Regions from separate parts of the Mus musculus genome. Here all the other regions are reported to be linked to region 1. The links are microRNA targets in miRTarBase. Many come from high-throughput screens and were not tested one by one. Region 1 holds a microRNA gene; each other region holds the end of a gene's coding sequence.

What was found. The annotated mature microRNA mmu-miR-124-3p reads UAAGGCACGCGGUGAAUGCC and lies in region 1 at 5,175-5,194, shown strand. An mRNA with a match to its seed (bases 2 to 7 or 8) in the 3' UTR can be bound and repressed. Matches are read on the target gene's strand: a 7mer-m8 pairs with bases 2 to 8, a 7mer-A1 pairs with bases 2 to 7 and ends in A, and an 8mer does both.
Region 2: the mRNA of Nfkb1 is a reported target of mmu-miR-124-3p. The part of its 3' UTR that is shown has no 7-base or 8-base seed match.
Region 3: the mRNA of Myh9 is a reported target of mmu-miR-124-3p. Seed matches in the 3' UTR shown: 8mer at 5,342-5,349.

What each region holds. Positions count from the first base shown.
Region 1 is chr14:64,585,535-64,592,727 of GRCm38, forward strand. It overlaps Mir124a-1 (microRNA 124a-1), which reads left to right and starts at 5,123; the gene lies at 5,123-5,207. It overlaps Mir124a-1hg (Mir124-1 host gene (non-protein coding)), which reads left to right and starts at 2,581. Exons shown (of 4, transcript NR_040709.1): 1 at 2,581-2,620; 2 at 3,243-3,433; 3 at 4,307-4,425; 4 at 4,739-7,193. It overlaps Mir3078 (microRNA 3078), which reads left to right and starts at 5,651; the gene lies at 5,651-5,737.
Region 2 is chr3:135,579,267-135,586,459 of GRCm38, reverse strand. It overlaps Nfkb1 (nuclear factor of kappa light polypeptide gene enhancer in B cells 1, p105), which reads left to right. Exons shown (of 25, transcript NM_008689.2): 25 at 945-1,805. The coding sequence ends at 1,105. Among named protein-coding and RNA genes, the nearest start is that of Gm46827, 26 kb to the left of the region's middle.
Region 3 is chr15:77,755,331-77,762,523 of GRCm38, forward strand. It overlaps Myh9 (myosin, heavy polypeptide 9, non-muscle), which reads right to left. Exons shown (of 41, transcript NM_022410.3): 41 at 5,255-6,686. The coding sequence ends at 6,569. It also overlaps a transcript of Apol8 not described here. Among named protein-coding and RNA genes, the nearest start is that of Apol8, 3.7 kb to the left of the region's middle.

The DNA.
Region 1 (7,193 bases):
CCAGCCATATGGGCCCCAAACAGCCCAGTCAATCCGATTTGGGGAGGTTTTACAATGTAATTTCTTAACGTGTTAGTACTTGGGGTGAGTTTGATCAGGCGCATAGACAGCCCTTAAGCCCAAGGGTTTAGGTTTTAAGAAGCCATTACAAATGGCCCAGCATCCGTCCGCTCAGACTGGTTAAAAACAGATATGAAATCTGTGGCTGGGGGAGGGGCAAGGACTCCTGACCCCCTGGTTGGAGAAAGTCCCAGGGGTATGCTCTAACTATTAATTCAGCATCAGCTGCCGTATCTACCCCCCACTCCCTTTCTCTTTTTCTTTTTTAACCCTGGGCTCATCATTTAAGGCGTTCCCACTCGGGCCTGCGGAGCCTGTTACAAAACCAGGTCTCCGCTCCCCCACTCCACCCCCACCCCGGCGCGCGCGCCCCACGCAGCAAGACGAGAGAGCCAGCGTCCCGCAATGCCGCAACGGCGCAGGAGAATTGCATTAAAAACGTTCTTAAGCTAAACAAAACCCTAGGCCTATCTGACAGTCTAGCACAGGAAAGTATCCTCCATGTCCCATTGCTCTTCAGTCAAAACCGACTAGACCTCAAGTCACAGCCCCACCCTTTCCTGGTGCAGGGGTTCGAAACTGTCTGCCGAGGAATGCTTTATAGACAGAACATTAGAATAGTCCTAAAGCTAAAAACCTTGATCAAAATGGTGGTAAGTAAGACCAAGTCACCGCAGAGAGAGACCAGCGATTTAGTGGGGACTATTATGAAAGTGGTCAGTGCTCCCAGAAAGATTGCCTAGCGAGGGGCCTTTGCCAACTAGTTACATTTTTTTAATTAAAATCCGTCACAAGGATGTTTTCTAGTTCTTACCCACCCCTCCTAAGATTCTCAATTCTAGAAATTTACAAAAACAGCTTATTTCCTAAGCTTCTAGCCACACAGTGTTGAAGCAAAAAACAGCACATGGGGGAGGTTTTGTTACAGCCGTTCTTCTGTTGGGGTCCTTACCTAACAATTGACAGAAACAGAAATGGCCTTCCATCCAGGGGGCATCCCCGGAGGTCCATCAGGGCTAGGTGGGCGCCGCGGCCACCACCCTCTGCACTGGCCATTGACAGCCACAACATTTAAGACTGCTTTTAGCTTTCCGAGTTTGTTCTCCCCTGTCTAGATGTCTTGAATTCAACATAGCCCAAGAAACAGTTCAGTTTTTTTTGTTTGTTTGTTTATTTGTTTCTTTTAAGTCATCAAAGAAAAGCAGGCGTAGGGAAAGCAGATGGGCCTGCGTGAGCAGGTCGGGGCTGCCTCGCGGCTGCCGCAATAGCCCTTTGGGAAGACAGATTTCTCATCGCAGGCGCGGGGGCTCGAGTGGGGGAAGGTCTTTTTGGTTCGCTCTTATGGGGGACATTCATTCTTGGTCCTTCTTTAAGCCACAGCTAACTCTGCTCTTGGAAAAGAAAAACAGTTACACAGCCACACAAGTACAACAAAAGGCGCCTCCCCGAAGTGGCTCTCCACGTCCGCAGGACGGGTGGCTGGACGTGTAGACGCACTTTTGTGCCTCTGTAATCTCGGACGTCCATCTGGCCCCGGCGGGCGAGGGCGGGCGGGAGGGCGCGGGCAGGGGAGGAGCGCGCGCACGCAACTAGAGGCGCGAGCACGCGCGCCCGCTCTCCTTCACTTTCACCTTGACTGCGGGGGGGGGGGCGTTGGTGGGGGCGACAAGAGACTATGGTCCTCCATCCCCCCACCTTCCGCCATTCGTCTTCCCACCCCCAGCACTGTCCTGCCCAGACGCCAGCCTAGGGAGGGGTGAGGAGGAGGCTGCACTGGCGCTCGGGTCGCCGCACCGCCCCGCAGCCTCGCGCTCTCCGCAGTGACAGCAACCACAACCGCAGCAGCACCCAGCTCCATCCTCACCAGCCTGGCTGAGCTACAGCCCGGCAATTCGGGCTGAGGACGACAAGCAGAAGGTGTGCAAGTGCCCCCGAGCTCCCCACTCCATTGACCGAAGCTCAAGAAACCGGGAGTGGGCTAGCGGCGGTATTGCACGGAGGGGACTGAGAAAAAGAGGACTGGAGACCATGAAGCTATTCAGGCAGGGGTAGGATTGAGCCCCCCGAGTCCACCCAGAGGACTTTGGCAGGGTCTGGGGCGGCCAGGGTGGCTTCAAGGGATCGGAGGGCTCTGACCACTGCAGATGCGGCGCGTGTGGGTGCGGTGAAAGCACCCACTTCTCCCAGGATCTAAACGGATAAACGGAAGCGAGTGTAAGTGTGGGGGTGCGAATCGCCACCTCCGGCCTTGGCTTTCCCGTTCGTGAGAGCACCCCCACTTCTCACTTTCCCCAAATCCGCATTTTTCTTGGCACAACCCTCCCGAACACCGAGCGAGGAGAGGGAGGTGCCCGGGGGCAGTGAGAGTGACGTGTGCTGGTGCAGAGGGGGGGGGGGGGGGCTGCGGGCCGGGCTCTGTGGACCTACTCCTAATCCTCTTGTTTTCGGAACTGTCAGCAGATGTGGCTTCTCTTAGCTGAATAATCCGTTAAAGGAATAATAATTTTTAAAAAGGACCTCGGCCTCACCCAACGAGGACAGTGAAGGAGATCAGCTCTTGGTAAGACTAAAAGAAAAGGCACTAAATTCTCTGCGTCCCTCTCTCTGTCTTCCTCTCAATCCCCTCACCCCCTCCCCCTCTCTTCTCTCCTCACCCCCCCCCCTTTCTCCCCCATCCCCTGCAATCCGCACTCGACGCGAGTTCACGCGCAGGGCTGGATTTCCAAGCTGCACTGCAACTTCTCAGCGCGTTATTATTATTCATCTGAGGGTGCAGCCTCTGCAACCTTCGCCTCCTGCGCTAGCATCCTTCCCCCTCGACCGCGGCCACCAGCAGAGCGGTTTCTTCTGCACGCGTGCTCTGGTTCACCAGAGGAGGATTCTGGCTTTTTGCTTTTTTGTTTTGGTGGTTTGGTTCGGTTTGGGGTTTTTTTTTTTTTTTTTTTTTTTTTTTTTTTGGTTTTGTGTCTTAATTCTTTCAGGGTCATCGCCAGGATGCTTTTCCTCCGGCCAGGTGGAGCCAGCATCAGCGCCTGCCAGCAGCAATTCCCTTCAATAGCCGAGGAAGCACTTGGGGCTTGGCCAGGGAGGCCGCTCCTTGCTTGCGGGGCTGACTTTAGCCTCCACTACTCTCCCGCATCCATCTGCGTGTATATTATCCCCATCCCTTTTTATTCCAATAGATCCGCCTTTGGTTTGGACTGGCTGAAACGCGGCGGACTGCAACCAGGATCCTTTAAAGGAGAACAAAAAGATGAGGATATTGTGCGGGGGTTCCGGGACAAAGCGTCTTGGGACGCGCGGAACTCTGGCTCCCCGATTGGAGAGATCAACGCTGCCCAACAGTACCCGGCCGGACCTGCGGACCTCTGAGGTTATTCGGACTCAATTTTATTGATTTTTGTGGCATGCTTTAAAAGGGTCAGTGTTAGGTAAAGACTGTGTCCCCCAACCCTGTGGGGTGGGTGGGAAGCTGAACGGAACCGATCCAGTTAGATTTAACTTGTCCTCTATGCCCTCTACCTGGCTTTTTTGAGCCATTGGGAAGGAGAATGGGGAAGGCTTAGAAAAGAGAAAGGGGGGGGGGGGACGACTGCCTGAAAGGATAAGGCACTAGTAGGGAGTGGGATGGACCAGGTGAGGGAGGTCTGTGGGTTAGGAAGCACCTTCCTCACTCTGGTGCACTGGGTGGGTTTGTTCAGGGAATGGCAACGTGGGTGTCTGTTGAAAGCAGTCTTGTGAAATTGACATGTACATGCATAAGGTGACTGGACTTGTGTGTAAACAGAGTGATGGAGAGCAGAGAGGGAGGGGTCTTAAAATAATATTTTATTGTCCCTATGGATTTGGGGATCTCTCCCCCACCCCACCCAGCTACATTCTATAGGGGTGACCTTTTAAAATCTACACCCACCCTTTACCTCTGTAAAACCGGTTGACGGGTGGGGTGGGGGAACATGTAGGGGTGCGCGCTCTCTCTCTCTCTCTTTTCCCCCTCCCCCCTCCCAGTCTCCCTCCTCCCTCTGTCTCCCCCTCCCTCTCCCTTCACTCCTCCCTCTCTCGCTCTCCCTTCGCTCCCCCTCCTTCTCTGTCCCTCCCTGCTGCATTTTGCATGAGCTATCTAGGTCATTAGCATTTTAGCGTATGCAAGACTTGACAAGGCTGATGAGGGGCCAGATGGGCCTCGCTCTTATTTATTTATTTTTTTTTTCTTTTCCTTTTTCCCATCCACCACTTGGGACCTAAGCGAGAGGACCGCAGCAGGAGAGTTCCGGAAGGCTGATTCCCACAGATCCTGGTAAGGGACCGCAGCAGCTCTGCCCTGCGGCACGCCCGGCCAGGCTACACCCGGACCCTACACTCAAGGTAAAGGCGGCGGTCACAAGCCCTGCCCAGGCAGCAGTAGCTGGGCCCCTGCTTCCCATCCCTTTCCTCTCCGTCATCTCCCTCCTCCTGGCCCCCCTCAGTTTCCTAGGCGAAGCTGAGAGCGAACTGGGTGGGTAGGATTCGCTGCGGTGGGGCGAGGTGGGGTTGATGTTTTTTCATTGTCTGGAACTGCAGGGGAGGCGAAGCGCGAGGAGAGGAGTGAGGGAGTCGGGGTAATTAACACGGGGGAGGCACCCCTCCGTCTCCCACTTCCACCCACATCCCGAACCCTCCACCCCCCTCCCCTTTGCAGGAAAAAGCTTGGAAACGAAAGGATGCGGGAGAACAAAGAGCCTACGGAGGACGTGGCTGTTATCTCATTGTCTGTGACTGGGGGAGCTGCGGTAGGAAGGATGCGGTGGTCCTTAGCTCATCGCGTTCCCCAACCCCACACCCTCCCTGCTGTCAGTGCGCACGCACACGCACGCGTCGCCAGCTTTTTCTTTCTCATCTCTCATTTTTTTCATCTCATCTTCTCCCCATCCCCTCCCTTTCTTTCCACCTTTCCTTCCTTTCTTCCTCCCTTCCTTTCTCCCATCCTCCCTCTCTTCCATCCTTCCTTCCTTTCCATCCTTCCTTCTTTCTTTCCTTCCTTCCTTCTTTCTTTCCTTCCTTCCTTCTTCCTTCCTCAGGAGAAAGGCCTCTCTCTCCGTGTTCACAGCGGACCTTGATTTAAATGTCCATACAATTAAGGCACGCGGTGAATGCCAAGAATGGGGCTGTCTGAGCACCTTGGGTCCACGAGGGCCTGCCACGGAAGGATCGACCCAGCACAACGCCCTGGGCAGATCTCAGCGCTGCAGCTGCAGGCGCCCACAGTACGGGTAGCAGGCTTCTGAGTGCCTCGCAAAGTAGCCCTTAGGGTGGGGAGGTGTGCAGCTACCGACAGAGAGGGGTTTGTGCAGATGCAAATAGAATCTAGGAAGCAAACAACTCATTCTGTGACAGAAACACGGATCTATGCAAGCGGGGGGGTGGTGGTGGTGGTGGCGGCGGCGGCGGCGGCGGCAGAAAATAGCCTGGGGACGGCTGGAGAGTAAAATGTGCCCCTCAGCTCTGGGACCCTGCCCATTGTAGAAGGCCGACACCTTCATCCCTACCTGTCTTAGTTCCGGATTTCAATTTATTACCCTTAAACAAATAATAATAACCAAGTACCCATGCGACTGGCAGACTGCCCCAAAGCCTAGACTGCAGCTACCTTGTATTGTGCTTGGGGTTGCTGGGGTAGTCTTTAGGGGAAGCTGTTTGTCACCCGTTGGTGGAGAGCTGTGGGCATTTGACAAGCTTAAACAGATCTCTGGAGTGAGCGAAGGCGATCGGCAAATTTGTTCATGGACAGCGCACAGACTCCATCAAAACTGACAGCTAGCCCACTGCTCTAAAGCAGGGCCTCCCAGCCTCCTTGGGGCTGTGGCTGAAGTTTCAGGCAGAAATCCAGAAGCTACAGGAAAAGGAGGCGCAGCCCACCCCCAGCCCCCAGAGTGTGGGCCTCTCCCCATCGCTCTTAAAACCCCAAGACAGAAGGAAAATCAGCATGAGTAAGGTGGAGGCCTAAGGAAAGTCTGTTTTGAAGCAGGCTGTCCAGGAACAGAAAGGGTTAATCCTCCCTCATCCTGAAGCACCTGCTTCCCAAATCAGCCCCCAACAGCAGCAGCTGGTCCTGGAGGCCCCCGACACAGTTCCATCCCGTCTCCATCTCAGTGTTCCGCCAACCTGCAGTGGATGGATGATGGCCTGGTGGCCGACCTAAACTCATTAATTTTCAGGTGGAGTAAATGGAGGAGGGGCAGGACCCAGCAGCAGAGGGAGGGAAAGGAGGCCAAGAGCTGGCCTCCTCCCCCCCCCCACAACCCACCCCCAGGAAGCAGGCTGTAGCCCTCCCCCCTGCTGTCATGCCAGAGGCCTGCCTTTGCAAGGCCAAGCCCATGAAGGATGTTTAGGAGTTTAATCTGATTCCTAACACAGTAATCAGGGTCTAAAAGAGCATCCGTTGAAGTTAATGGAGGACTCTTGTCTCAAAAAGCCTCAGCCTCATCTAGTCTAGTAAATTAGTATTTGAGGGTATATCATAGATCAGTACCTCTCTGGCCTAGTTTCCTCAAGAGTATTCATTATTTCTTGAGTATCTACTATGTGTCCTTCTTTACGATGATTTCAACTTCTAAATTTCCTCACAGAAGAGAATGTTAGAGCTAGCCAGGCTGAGCTTCAATTTACCACATTCCACCTAGGCATTCCCAGAACCTTCTCCCGCTCTGCAGAAATAAGCCACCGCCTGCTTACTCTTGCAGGCAGAAAGCTGCAGTGCCCACACCCTGAGGGTGTCTCTGGCTGAGTCCTACCGGACAAGCCAGACTGCTTTCAAGGCAGAAAGGGAAAGACCCAGCCACAATGGCTGTCCTAAGAGACGCCATAGCCATTGCTTCGAGAAAATCTACCTCCCTTGAAATAAAAATTGGCCCTTTCCTGGGGTGCTCCCTCACTTCACAAATGGGTTAGAAGAGAACGGCTAGTGTGCTGTACCATTTTGGGGGTACACCCATTTGCCCCCCCCCCCCCGTGCTCATTGAGATGTTATTTTGCCTTCAAGCAATGGCCTAAGCAGATGATGGCCCAACCCCCCTGGACCACAAATATCCCCATTAGCAATCCTCTACTCAGTAATTGCTTCCCCATGATTCTTTCAAATGTCCCCTCGTCCTTCA
Region 2 (7,193 bases), not on the chromosome of region 1:
TTCCCAGGAATGCTTTTCAGGCGATAGAATTTAACTTAAGCTTTTGGTATAGACACATTTAAAAAAAAAAAAAAAAGCCTCATTTTCTTGCACCAAAAGAAAATTTTCTAGGCAATGTGTATTCTTTAAAAGCTCATACAGCTCAGAGAAAGGTGCCATTTTTAGTTCCTGCTTCTGTTATGAGTTTATTTTGCCTTGTATTCAGCAGTTTGCCCAGCCGTTAAAAAAAAAAAAAAAAAAAAAAAAGACAAAAGGTAAAATGATAGAGCAGTTAGAAAAATATGCCTCACTTTACAAAGGAAAACATGTTTATCCTGAACCAAGAGAATTCAGAACAGATTCTGTTCAACAGAAAGACTGATGTACCCTGTAGCACTCTCTAATGTCATTTGATAACCCTGCCATTCACACAGCCAAGCAGCACCGGTGGCATGATGGGGAGGTGGGATGCCGTGCTGCGCAGGAGCTAGCAAGCACAACCCTCCATACCATAGTCCACACGGAGCCTGGGAGGGAGCCCACTGCTGTGGATGGTGCTCTAGGGCACTGTGACAAAGCTCTCTGGGTTTATATCAGCCCCCAGCTCCTATCCATCATGGAAGGGATTCAGGGCAGGAACCCAAAGACTTTGAATCTGAAACTGCTGAGCACCCCGGCTTGCTGCCTCATGGGCTCATGCTCCACTGGCTTTCTTACACAGCCCTGGACTGCCTCTCAGGGAGTGGTGCTGTCTACAGAGGATAGGTCCTCCTCCAGTCAGTTAACTGTCAGGACACGCCCACAGACCAGTCTCATCTGGCTGGGCCCTCCCTCATCTGCACCTCCCTCCTCAAGTGATTCTAGACGTGTGAAGTTGACAGTTGAAGGTGACAGGGACAGCAGGCAGAACAAAGCCCTTGCCATGGCCTAACTCAGCCCCTCATGAGTCTGTGCTTTCTCCGCAGATGAACTCCGGGATAGTGACAGCGTCTGTGACAGTGGTGTGGAGACATCCTTCCGCAAACTCAGCTTTACAGAGTCTCTTACTGGAGACAGCCCACTGCTATCTCTGAACAAAATGCCCCACGGTTATGGGCAGGAAGGACCTATTGAAGGCAAAATTTAGCCTGCTGGCCGTTCCCCCACACTGTGTAAACCAAAGCCCTGACAGTCCATTGCATCGTCCCAAAGGAGGAAGGCAAAGCGAATCCAAAGGTGCTGGAGAATCGCCGGCCTGCAGGGTCACTCGATTTCATTCAAGGCCTTCCGAATTTGGCGTCCTTTCTTGGTTCTGAAATGAAATGTAGTTGCCACGCACAGACGGTGTCTAGCAATCATGGCGCTCGCTCGCTCAGCTGCACTCTATGGCTCAGGTGCAGTGTCTTGAGCTTTCTCTGCTGCTACTGGATCACATTTGCTTTGTGTTGTTACTGCTGTCCCTCCGCTGGGTTCCTGCTGTCATTAAAAGGTGTCGCTGTCCCCACCCGGTGTCCTTTCTAGCCATCTACTGTAAGTTGTGCATTCAAATTAAGATTAAGGAAAAACATATTTTTAAATGAGTACCTTGATGCGCAATAAAAAAAAGACATTTCTTTTTTTAATGTGGTTTATCTGTGATTTAAAAATAAAAAACACATGAACTTACAATATTTAAAACATGCTACAATCAGTGCTGAAAATAGTATTTTCCCCGTTTTATGCATTTTACTATTGTAAATATGTTTTCTAAATCAAATACTTTAAAAGAAGAAATGTTGAATTTATAAATGCTATTTACTTTTTTATTTTACTTTTATAATAAAAGTACAAGCACATTGTTGACCTAATCTTGTCTGATCTCTGCAAATGCTTTCTCAGAGGAGTCCCTGTGACTGTGGGAACAGCCCCACAGCCCGTTTGTCACATCCACATTCTCCTTTAGACACATTTCTTTGAAGCTAGAAATGTTCAAACTGTGGAAATAAAAGTGTTCTAACCCAAGACTGAGGTTCCGACCCAGGCAACATCATCTGGACGCCTAGCATCAACATTCCAATCTCTACACCGTTCCTCTCCAGCGCATGCTGTCTGTGTCTATGAAGGATAACAGACCCCAGCTTCAGCACTTCATCTTCTGGATACGATGTGGCCGTTGCGTTCATAGCTAACTACACAAAACCTGTACAAGATGTGGTCCTTCATCATGTATAGAGAGGGACTGATGAAATACACACACACACACACACACACACACAGACACCACAGCAACTGGCTGTTAATAGTTGCTAGGGGAATGGGAGTCCTTTCTTCAAATGGTATAGCACATACTCCAGTAACTATTCCCTCCCCATGTTCATGCAGGCAGCCCTAATTAAACTTACTCATACACACAAGCACAGAAGCAGGAAAGTAGGAGGCGGAAACGAGAAGGCAGCGGGGTTTGTGGATATGATCTCAGTACATCCTATACATGTTTAAGATCATGAGAAAATATACATTTTAATTAAAAACTAAATTCCAACATATGTAAAAGATTTTCCAGTATGGAGTTTAGTAAGTCTGCATGGCTGAAAGTAGAAAGAGGGAAGATTAATGGCTTGAAAGAGGTCTTAGTTTGGACTCTGGTGTGTGACCAAGGTCATTTAGTGTGTAGTGTAAAGATCAAATCCAAAACCTTCTGGTGAAGTGGCTTGGCAGTTAAGAGCACTGATCTTCCAGAGGACCAGTCAGTAGGTTTAATTCCTAGAACCCCTCACAGCTCACAACCACCTGTAACTTCGGTCCCAGGGAATATGATGCCCTCTTCAGGCTTCTGTGGGCACCAGGCATATAAATGGTGCACAGATATACATGCAGGCAAAACATCCATACACACAGAAAGAAAAAACCAAAAACCTAAGGCCTTGTCATGCCACACAAGTGATCTACTACTGATCCCACGGAAGGGCCTGGAAACCCACCAGCTATTACCTTTGGGAACTGCCTTCACTACAAAGAGCTCTCACCCCCATTTCCATGGTAGTCATATGAATGCCTTTCCCATTGCTGGGACCTTCAGATCCTGGGAGACAGGCTAAAGTGATCTGGGCTATCTCCCTCACACAGCTCAAGGTACCCCAAATAGACATCTTGTATGTCAGTGTCCATATGACAAAATATTCCAAACTTACAATGAAGAAAATGGAGGTCCAGAGAGCGCAACTCAGTTGTGGCTAAGGTGCATCTGCGTTTATATCCAGATACTTAGCGCCTAGGCTTGTGAGTTAGAGAATGATTTTATTGGGACAAAAAAGATGATAATGACTGAATCTATTAGTAGGGATTTGGTATAAGATTAAGTAAAATATCATTAATGAAGAAATGATTAATTATTTAAATATATAATACAAGCTACTTAATAATACTTAAATTATTTAATAAATATTCTAAGTGCCTAATCATCAATTAATCGGAATCCCTTTCTACCAAAAATTCCATATGTATGAAAATTTAAACCATACGAATTTTAGACATACCACCAATCTTAGACAAACACCCTTGACATCGAGAAGGCCCTAATCGAGACTTCATTCTGTGATGTAAAAGCAGAGCAGATTCTACCTCTTAGAATGCATCACAAATGAACAGAAACTGGTTAAACAGCAAATTCTGTTTTCCATTACAGTACCCTCTCTCCACCCTAACACACCCTTATTCTGCGTTGGAAACTTTAAGACAAAACTGTCTTGCTTTGGTGTTTCGTAATACTTCCTGGGACAGCCATGCCACCATGCCCCAGCCAGGACTTTCTATGGCTGTTAGCTGTGCGTCTTAAAACATGGTGCTGAAGCCCTTCCCACAGAGAGACACCATTGTTTCCTGGGTTTAGGCTCCTGAGTCCAGGCCACCTGTGGCAAGGCAGGAACGATGCTGAGTGACTTCCGAAACTAGGTCCGAATTTCTGCCAACCTTCCCGGAACTACCTTCTCCTGGAACTCAGTCACCCTGTTCAGAGGGTGCCAAGCAGCCATGAAGAGAAGGCCAGTACAGGTGTTCAGCCAACAGCCTTAACCGAGGTCCTAGCCAAAGCTTGCCAAGCCGACGGCTGCCAGGTGACCCTGCCTAGCCTTTGGGCTGTCTCAGCAGATGCTGACCATAATAGACATGGGCTGTTCTGCTGTTCTCCTCAAATGACAGATTTGAAAGCAAATTAAATACTAGTGGGGGTTTTAAGCCCTGGGTGTAGAGTGGACACCACCATTCTCCAGGCATTTGAAAAGACAGCTTGCCTACCATAAGTTCAGCAGAAAAGATACTGACTGGAGGGACACCAACCAGGCTGCCCGTACCAATATGTAAAATAGCATTTCTCTTCTTTAATAAACAATCCTGGCTCTCTTTTGTTCCAGAAACTTCCCCTTCTTACCAGGTCTCTACGCTAATCCACATGAAGGCAGCCAGAACTGCCTGCCTCTCAATGGAAGGAGAGTCCACCTTCACGCCAGTAGATGGAGATAAACACCAGAGGCAGTACAGGCGGTTGGTCGGTTGGTCGGGTGGGAAGCTACAATGAGCCTGAAAGAAGCTTGCCCTGAAAGCTTTCCTCACAGCAGGCCGCCACTCAAAAATAGCTTCCTCAGAACTTCAGTCAGCTTTTGAGGTTTCTGTACTCTGCAGGCATAACCCAAACCTTTTCAGGATCTGCAGGCCTTTCTTCTTGGGGGTGTGGGGGGAGGGGGAGGAATCCCTGCTGTTGTTCATTTACCCACCTGGGTCCCCTGGGGCAACTCTCTGCGACACAGCAGACACAGCAGTCACCAGTACAGAGTACAGCCCCCAAAGCCTGTTAAGTCTTGGCTAAGAACGCAGAGGGGCAGAAGCCAGCCAGAATGGGCGTCTTTACACGCCAGCCCCTTTCAGTTTCCAACACAGACAAAGAGCTCAGATTTGACCCATTCCCAGAGTCAAACACAGGTCAGCCCCACTCCAAAGACTGTCTTTGAGGATGCTTTCAAAGTCTTTGATGAACAACCGGCTTGTTTTTTTATACCAGCTCTGTGCAAAGATGGAGTCATAATGTGTCAACCCATATGCAGTGTGGTCCCAGAATACCACTAAAAGGACGTATTGCTTGGTAAAGCTGGGCTTGTGGCACATGTCTGTAATGCCAGTGCTCTGGAGGCTGAGGCAGGGGGATCACCATATGTTTGATGCCAACCTGGACTACATAGGGAGGAGACCCTGTCTCCTAAGTAAACGATGGTGGTGATGATGATGATGACAATGATAACGACAACGATGACAATGATAATGTTGAAGATCCCCTTTCCTTTCCCAAAGCAACAGTGTACAACTTAAGTGACAGTATGACTTGAATGAGAAGCATCATGGCATGGGTGGCTTTGTTCTGCAGTGCGCGCGCGCGCACACACACACACACACACACACACCTCTATCTCCCGACCACATGCAAATGTCCCTTATGCATTTCCAATACATTTCTTTCTGTGATCTGGGAACAACCACCTTACATATTAAACAAGCAAATATCTTTAAAAACAGGAGTGCTTCCACTTAAAAAATACTTCCCAATCGTTATTTCCATAACACTCTGAGGTAAATGGGGGGGGAAGGGTTACACCTCCTGCCATAGTCCACAAGACCGTGTGCTGGTGTCTGGCCCTCCCTGGAGAGAGAGGCTGGACTCTCTGTAGAGAGAGAGACTCAGTCATGAGTCTTTACAGCTCAGGCCTCAGCTTCGGTCTGTAACCTCTCACAGGTGCAAGGCGGCCCTGACGGAACAAATCACACGGATGTGCCAGAAGCAACAGCTTGCCAGTCAGGGGCATTGAAGGACATTACTCACAGCTGGCCAAACAGCTGGAAGACAGCACCCGTGAAACCATTTCCTCTAAGAACGCTAAAACCAGACAGAACCGCCCCCAGACAGGGCAGGAGGGGCCTTGAGAGTACATGCCGGTCTCTCTCTCTCATTCCTTCTCCTTCCAGACCCTTCTCTCTAGCTTTGGAGCTTGCAGGAGTTTCTCAACGCTGCCTGGCTTTAATTTCCTGGGACGCAATCCTTCCCTTAACAAGCACATAGCCCTCAAAAACACACCCATGTGCCCAGCCATGGTGACACACACCTTTAATCCCAGCCCTTGGGAGGCAGAGGTAGGTGGATCTCTGAGTTGGAGGCCAACCTGGTCTGAAGAGTGAGTTCTAGGACAGAGAAACCCTGTCTCAAACAACAACCCCACCCAGGTTCCAGTCCCATTAGTGCACAATCCCTCCTCCCAACATACCCAGAGAGGCCAAAAGGACCAGACAGGACACCTCTAGAGAACCTTACTGCAGCCTCCTAGACAGGCCTTGCCACCCAAGCTAGTAATGACCCATCCGACTCTCTTCCTGGGGCGCCACAGCCCCTGCACCTGTCCTTCAACCACCAAGCCACAGAAATACTACCCTTTCCCCCTGTGTGAGGGCAGTGTGAGCTCACAGCACATTAGTGTGAGCCACCCAGATCTATGCGAAAGCAGCTCTACACGTCTTCCATCCTAGTTTCGACTCCTTGAAGATCAGAGTCACTATTTGGCCCTGCCTTCCCCACCATCCAGCCAAAAGCCTATTGTGAGGGGCTGGGGAAGAGCATTTGCACACAGCGCGTGGGCCAGCCATAGGCACAGGGACTCCTTAAAGCTGCAAAGAGGAGCAGACAGGCGGTTGAATGTCATCCCTCCCCACAGGCAGCAGCTGATGGCCATATCTTTTCTTTGGTTACGGGGGCTTCTTTATATTTGTCATCTAACTTCTCCCCTATCTATTCCAGAGGTTTGTGTCAAGTTTCCAGAGAGTCACAGTAAGTAAATTTCAATTAGACATCACTCAGGGCCAGCAAGGTGACTCAACCTGTAAGGCCGCCCGCTACAGGAACCTGGCAACCTGAGTCAGATCCCCCAGGACCCACAACAGGGTAGAAGGTGCGAACCGGCCCCATAAAGTTTCCTCTGAACTACACACACACACACACACACACACACACACTTTGAAAATCACTTGGCTGCGACCTGTTTGCCAGGGTAGCAGGACAGATAGAAGTGAAGTAAATTAATAGAGCAGGAAGTAGCTCTGGTATTGGACCTTGTGACCCAGTTTCCATTCTGCCTGCCAGGCACCTAAGACAGAAGCCAGAGCTCTGTTTTAGAGAGCTGCAGGCTCCTTCCTTCTTTCTCCTCTCCCTCCCCCTCCCCGTT
Region 3 (7,193 bases), not on the chromosome of region 1:
CCCTGCCCTGCCCTGCTCCTGGCTGGCTGTGCAGCCCTGATAGGAGCCCTCTTCTTCCCAGCTGGAACCCGAGCAGAGTTGCGCAAAGCAACCCTCCAACCCCATCCCTTCTGATGGTTTCAGGGCATCCTCAGAGCAGGGAGGGAGGGAGGGAGGGAGGGAGGGAGGGAGGGAGGGAAGACACCTTGCTCCTTCTAAGGGGTCCTTGATGATCTCTCAGGGTCAAGTTGAATCCCCTTTAGTCAGCACTCCAGGCCTCAAGCCCACTGCAGTCTCCCCCCTCCCAACCAGCCCCTGCTTCTATCATACATACACCTTCAAGTCTATCCTGCCTCAGTGACCATGACACCTCCGTGTCTTTGCTGTGGCTGACCCTGTAGTGAGACTTTCCCACTCCACAATGGGACACTCCTGTTCTTTCTGCCCCTTCATCTTCCCACAGTGGCTGTGGCACCTGGCTCCCACTGTAGAGACTCTAACCCCACCCCACAGGTGGGCAGTGGCCTTGGGGGGGTCAACAGCACAGGTGATGTATCCATCGGTTGAAAACACAGGTTCCTGGTGGGCAGAGTGGAGACCCATGCTGGCCCATTTACTCTGAGACTGAAGCACTAAGTGGGACCTTAAAAGGCCACATTGGTGGCACAAACCTAGAATCTCAGCACTCAGGAAGAAGCTTAGATGAAAAGATGATAGGTTTAGAGCCAGACCTGGCTATATGGGGAGACTAGAATTTCTACGGAATTAGCCTGTGCGTTTCTGCACACTCAGAGTCTCTCTCTCTCACACCCAATGGTCTACTCAGTGATCTTAGGATTGCAGAGCTGGTATTGCTCTGGGGATGGTGTTTGGCAATGTGCCCCTCTTAGTCCCCACACCTTGTGTCCTTGCCTATCCAGACACCCAGGACAGCTCCTGCTTTCTGCCTTCATCCCTCACATACTGATAACAGGAGTCAGGGGAGATGTGAGCCTGTGATCCAGCTGACTAGTCTGCCCTTGGCAAATCACCCCACTACTGACTGGGCCCTCAGTTTCCTCGCCCCCCATAGGCCCTGAAACAGAGTGATGCCCAAAAGGACAATTGGATGAGAGCTTTTGGGCTGTCCACATCTTTAGGAGCCAGATTTAGTCCCTGTCAGACAACCAGGGAGGCAGAGCCAAGATTCAAACTAAGATAAACATTCTGACATGTGGCACTCATAATCCCCCTTTTTGCTTCTGGTAATTTTGGGATCATTTTTTTTCTATAATTTCCCTTCCATCAAGTTTTCACACACACACACCCCTTACCTGGTACCAATACCAGGATTGATATTAATATTAACTCAACAGCCAAACAAAAGTACTTCAAGGTGCAGAACCAGGTAAATTCCCCTATGAGCCAGAGAGCAGTAACGGAGACCTTCTAATCAGAGCATGGAATAGACCAGAACATGGTCTCTCCAACAGTCTTGGATGGAACCCCCTGGATAGGACTCACTTGGCAGGTTAGGGCATAGAGATCTTGAACCCTAGAAACTCCTCAGCATCTGAAAATCTGCTACTCAATAGCTCAGCTTGACTGGTGGCATCCGAAGCAAGTGTCCCAGGATGTCCTGCTTGACATCTCAGCCTAATCTTTGGCAACGACGGCCACGGGGATCCTAACGCAAAGGAAACAACCCTGAAACTGGGGAGCAAGTCAGGCAGGGTACAGCACCATCTAGTGGATGGTGGAGGGATCAGCAGCCAAAGCATCGGGCCACCATGATCACTCCCATCCCAGCACTCACTGGTGCAGACAAGCTACGTTTTAAATGCTTGTCTGGATGCTACACTGGCTGTCCCAAGACAGGCACCCTCCTCTCGGAGAATGCAGAAGGGGACAGGGACCTGCCAACTGAGCACTGGGCACGGGGCTTCTAATGTACTTAAATGGTCACCCCAGACTAACCTGTCAGGACTGCAAAACACGGGAGAAAAAAAAAACATCTCCCTCATTGATAGCACTGCATGACAGCCTGGGAGTGAGAAGGGCGACCACTGCTCCCAGCCACCACAGCCTGGCCACCAGCCTCATTCAGAGAACTGTCCTGTCTTTGCTCAGATGGGATGTCATGTCTCCAAATGTGATGTGTCAGCTTCGGGATTTAGAATGAATGTAAAAATGACAGGATCTAAATCACAATTATTGGACTTTTGCAATGACACACAAGTAGCACTGCCCTCGGCTTGATGCACATATAATGGTCAGGAGCATCAGACACACCGGCTGGGTGAACACAGCAGCTCTGGGATTCTGATTTCAGACAGGCAAGTTAGCAACCCAAGAGGCTGGAGTTTGCCTCCAGACTGTCTAGCGCTGAGGATGAGAGGGGTGCTGGAGAGAGGATCCAGGCTCAAGTTCGGCAGACTCTCAAATAGGAGGGAAGAGGGGCTGGGGAGCCACCCCACTAGACAGCTCTGCAACACACTCCTTAGTCACTGAAGAAGGCTGGCTGATGTCACTGTCATGGCACAGCATGGCCTTGAAATTCATAGCACCTAGCTGCTATAACCAGAATGGAGGCCACAGTACGGTGTTGGCAGAGCCCGTAAACCAAGAATCTGGGATTACTTGTGTGGGCCTTAAATCCAATGCCAAGTGTCCTTCTATTATGTATACAGCCTTCTACCTGAATGTATGCCTGCAGGCCAGAAGAGGGCACCAAATCCCATTACAGATGATTGTGAGCCACCATGTGGTTGCTGGGAATTGAACTCAGGACCTCTTGAAGAGCAGTCAGTTCTCTTAACCTCTGAGCCATCTATCTCTCCAGCCCATAAAACATCTTTATCCTTAAAAATATTTTAAAGATGGGGGAAGCAGGCCACATGAAGACAAAGCAGATACTGGGGTGGTGCTGGTCCAAGCCATGGGATACATGGACCCACCAGATTCTCTCGGAGAAAACACCTCAGCTTTGAACTTGAGAGTAGCTCTCTGTTGTAGGCTATCTGGCATGTGGTAAGCTACAGTAACCCTAGGAAAGGCAGAACCAATAGAGGCTGGTCTAGAAAGTAGGGTTTGCCACTCGTTTTATTCAGGAGGGGAATGAAGCATCCATGAGGTTAGAGCAAAGATTGCCATCTCCATCCTCCTGACTGGACACCCCTGCAGGTCCCGCACCAGGCTCTGGGAGCCTGGCATGCACCTGAATCCTCTGGAGGACTGATGGCATCCTGTGTCCAGATTCTCTGAGGCAGCAGGTCTGCAGTGGTTATAAGATTGGACTCTCAGAGGGCCAGAGCGATGAATCAGAGCGGCACTGGCCGCTCTTGCAAGACTCGGGATCAATTCTCAGCACCCAAGTGGTGGCTCATAGCTGCCTTTTAACTCCAGTTTCAGGGAATCTGATGCCCTCTTCTGAGATCCACAGAGACATGCAGGCAAAAGATTCATTGCTACATCTACTCCAGTAGTGACTCGAATTACAGGTTTAGAAACCTGGAAGCATTCCTGAGGCAGAGTTTCAAGGAACCTTGGCATTCCCATAGCTAGGATGCCACAAATTTGTCCCTGCAATATTGTGGAGGGTCTTGCATGCTTTCTTACAGTATTTTACTGGATAAGAGTTAGAAATCTCAGGGCAAGCTTAGCAAAGTATACCTAGAATCTTCATTACAGTCAGGTATGGCAGAATATATTGCATATTGGAAGTAAGTTGGTAAGTTGGTGAATTCTTCTGACAAATGGAGATTCCCTACAGATAACTTAAAAGAACAGCCAAGTTACACTCATATGCAAGAATTTACCAAGGCCTAGGAAATAGGGGGGTTGTGGTATTGCATTATTCATAAGGTCTGCTTGAGCAGAAGCCCCTGGTGCTAGCTTTCACAAGGCTCAGAGGAGTAGCACAAACCGTGACTAGGGTGTGAAATCCTTTCCTGTCATTAGCTGACCCTAGGCAGGGCTGTAAACATTACCTGGTTCCTGTAAGTCCTTTTGAAGTCATTCCTCTATTTTGTGTCAGGTAACTTCAATGTACTGTGCCTGCTGTGACATCCTACCCCTAAGACTGGTGTTCGCTTTGTGACAATACATTCAGATTCAGCACTCTCCCTTGAGTCCGCATCTGTCTGTCAATTCTTGCCGACTCTATGCCCATCTGTCCGAACCCCTGATTCCCAAGGATTGAGGGGGGCCGACTGAGCCCAGTCCGTGGCAATTCATACAATAAAAATAAAGACCAAAAAAAGTACCCTAACTCTGTCAGATGCTGCTGCAGCCAGGCTAGGGTTCCACACAGAGCTGCTCGCCCAGCCAGGCTAGTTGATAACCCAAAATGTTCATCACAAGACTTGACCAGAAATCAACACTGCAGTCAATTACAGTTGAGGGCTGGAGACCTGATCTTTCTAAGAAACACAGGGCAGAGATTCCAAGCCCGGTGCTGCGAATAAATACAAATAATAAAAGGCAAAAGACGGGGCTGGAGGAATGGCTTAGTGGGTAAGAGCACTGGCTGCTCTTCCAGAGGTCCTGAGTTCAATTCCCAGCAACCACATGGCGGCTCACCGCCATCTGTAATGAGATCTGATGCCCTCTTCTGATGTGTCTGAAGACAGCTATAATTTTACTCATATACATAAAATAAAAGAAAATTTTAAAAAAGGAGAAAGACACAGAGGCACACTGAGGATGAGCAGGTAACAGATGAAAACAGGAAGATGAGCTGTGTAAATCTAGCAGGCTGCAGGCTGCTTGCTCTGGGGGCGCGGCCATGAGAACTGACTAGTCTAACGGGAGTCTGTCTCCCAGGCTTCTGTCACTGTGTTGGTTTGACACATTCTGGATCCTCTTTTGTGTGTATGGGGGGGGGGGGGGAGAGCGCGCGCGCGTGCGTGCACGTGTGCACATGCTTCATCTGCCACCGCTGATGCTGAGTGTTTGCGGTGCACACTGCGCGCCTCCCCAGCTTCTGCTCACCACCCACTCCTCCCACTTTCTGCCTCTGGAACCGCAGCATCTCCTCCAGAGCCTCCTTCCTCCTAGAGGAGAAAGGCGAGCCCAGCATGTGGAAGGAGAGGAGAATTCCTGAACCAGCCCTGGGCCCATTGCTGTCCAGCCTCTTGGCCTGCAGGGAGGGAGGAGGTCCCTGCTGCTGCCCAGGATGTCTTGGAACACCCCCTCTCAAACTGCTAACTAAGCAGAGTCAAGTGTGCTCTCCTGTGACCGCTGGCCCAGCCCTTCCCGGCCTTCTCCCGCTGTAGCCAAACACCCAGACACCAAAGAGTAGGACATGGTACTCTTTATTGTGACGCTCAGTGGAAACATCTGTAAACCAGCTTACTGTAGTGGTGACAGCTGCGACACATGCTAAGGCACTTGTATTATATAAAAAAAGGGGTGCGGGTCCCACTTGCTCCTTTATGACAGCGCCTTTGGGACCTGGATTCAGCTTCTCTAGCGTATGTGGCTTCATGATTTGACTGGTTTTCCTTTAAAAAAAAAAAAAAGAAAAGAAAAAAAAAAAGAAAAAAAAAGCCTTCCTGCCATAAGGGAACCTAATCACAGCATTTACAAACAGTGAGGTGCAGTGCGCAGGGAACTCAGCGACCAGTGTAGACATTGTAGGGCAAGCTACTCTCTTCTAAACACAGTTCCAGGGCAAGGCAGTGAAGACACCCAGAACTAGAGCACTTACTACAAGAAGGGAAAAATAAAACCTTTTTTTTTCTTTCAAAAGCATCCTTGTGGAAGGCAGACTTGAAGCTATAGAGTGGGTGGCACAGCTCGACCACCCTTGGCCCCAGTCCTAGGAGAGGCACCAGAGCGCACAGTGGGCTCCAGCCCTTGGATATTCTGGCTGCCAGGCCCTGCAAGTCCCTTAACCATTAAATATATTTGGTCCCCTAGAGTGCTGGGAGAAGCCACCGGAAGGCTGTTGGCCTTTCTAGAGTGGCCCTGATGCCCTGTCTGGTTTGCCCCGGTGCCAGGACGGTCTGTCCTTGGCAAGGGAGGGGAGGGGCATTGCACTTGAGACGGTTTACAGTCGGAGGAGCAGAGGCACCAGTGCTGCCCAGAAGGGAGTGGGGGGATTCCCAGAGTGCCCCATGTTCTGCACCCAGCACAGAGGCTCCTTCTGGACCAATAGGGCCCAGGGAAGGGGGCCATAGGGCAGGTATGAGGTTACCGTGTGTGATTGCCAACAGCAGGGGGGACGGGGGACGGGGACAGCCGAGGTCGGGGAGGGTAACACTACTAGAGGCCTGAGCTATCAAAATCTTTATCTGAAGACAAAATAGATTCATAGAAAACTCTTGTGCCTACTCCAATGGCCGCCCTTCTTGCCCACCACCCGTGCTTTCAGGCAAGGAGGACAAGACCCTGTGGGTCATCCGGCCTGAGCCAGCCTGGACTCTTTGGTATCAGATTCTCAAAGGGTATGGAGGACTGGAAGGGCTGCAGCAGAGGAAGCCAATGCCCTCGGGAAGGCCTTGGGAGGAGGGGGACATGGTCAGAGCAGTCTCAAGGCAGGGGTGTGGAGGGTTGGGGGAGGGAGGCAGAGCCGTTTGTCCATCCGCCTGGGCTGCAGGAGAAGCTCCTATTCAGCTGCCTTGGCATCGGCCCCATCTGCTTTACCGTCGACCTCCTCGTCTGAGCAGTCGCCAGTGCCTTTCCGAACAATTCGGCGAGTCACGACAAATGGCAGGTCCCCACGCCTGTGGGCAGAGGCAGAGGGTCAGTGGGGCCCAGCTAAAGAGAAATGGGCAGCCCAGTATGAAGACTTCAAAGTGGTCTTTAGAGGGAAGGAGGCCAAGGAGCAACCCTGCCCGAGGAAGTGGACCACCAGAGCAATTGCCAGCCTTAACTGCCGGGTGCCTTTACTACAGAGCACCAGCAGAGGGGGCTGCTGGAGGCAGGTGGAGCTGCCTTCTGCACGGCCTGCCTGTGCTCAGGCCTCACAAGTAGGCAGGGTGAGTGGGGAGTGGCTTAGTGGCAGAACACATGCCTAACACACGTGGGACCCCGAGTTCTATCCCAGCACCACAAAACGAAATAAGTGGACCCAGAAGCTGAGGAACAGCTGTTCACACAGGAGTTGGGGGCATCCTCTGGATGTTAGAAAGCACAGATGAAATTCTCAGGAAAGTCTGATTTTCATGCTTCAGAAAAGATCCCCTCTGACTGGAGGGAGAATGGCCACTAACACTAACAGAACCAAGCTT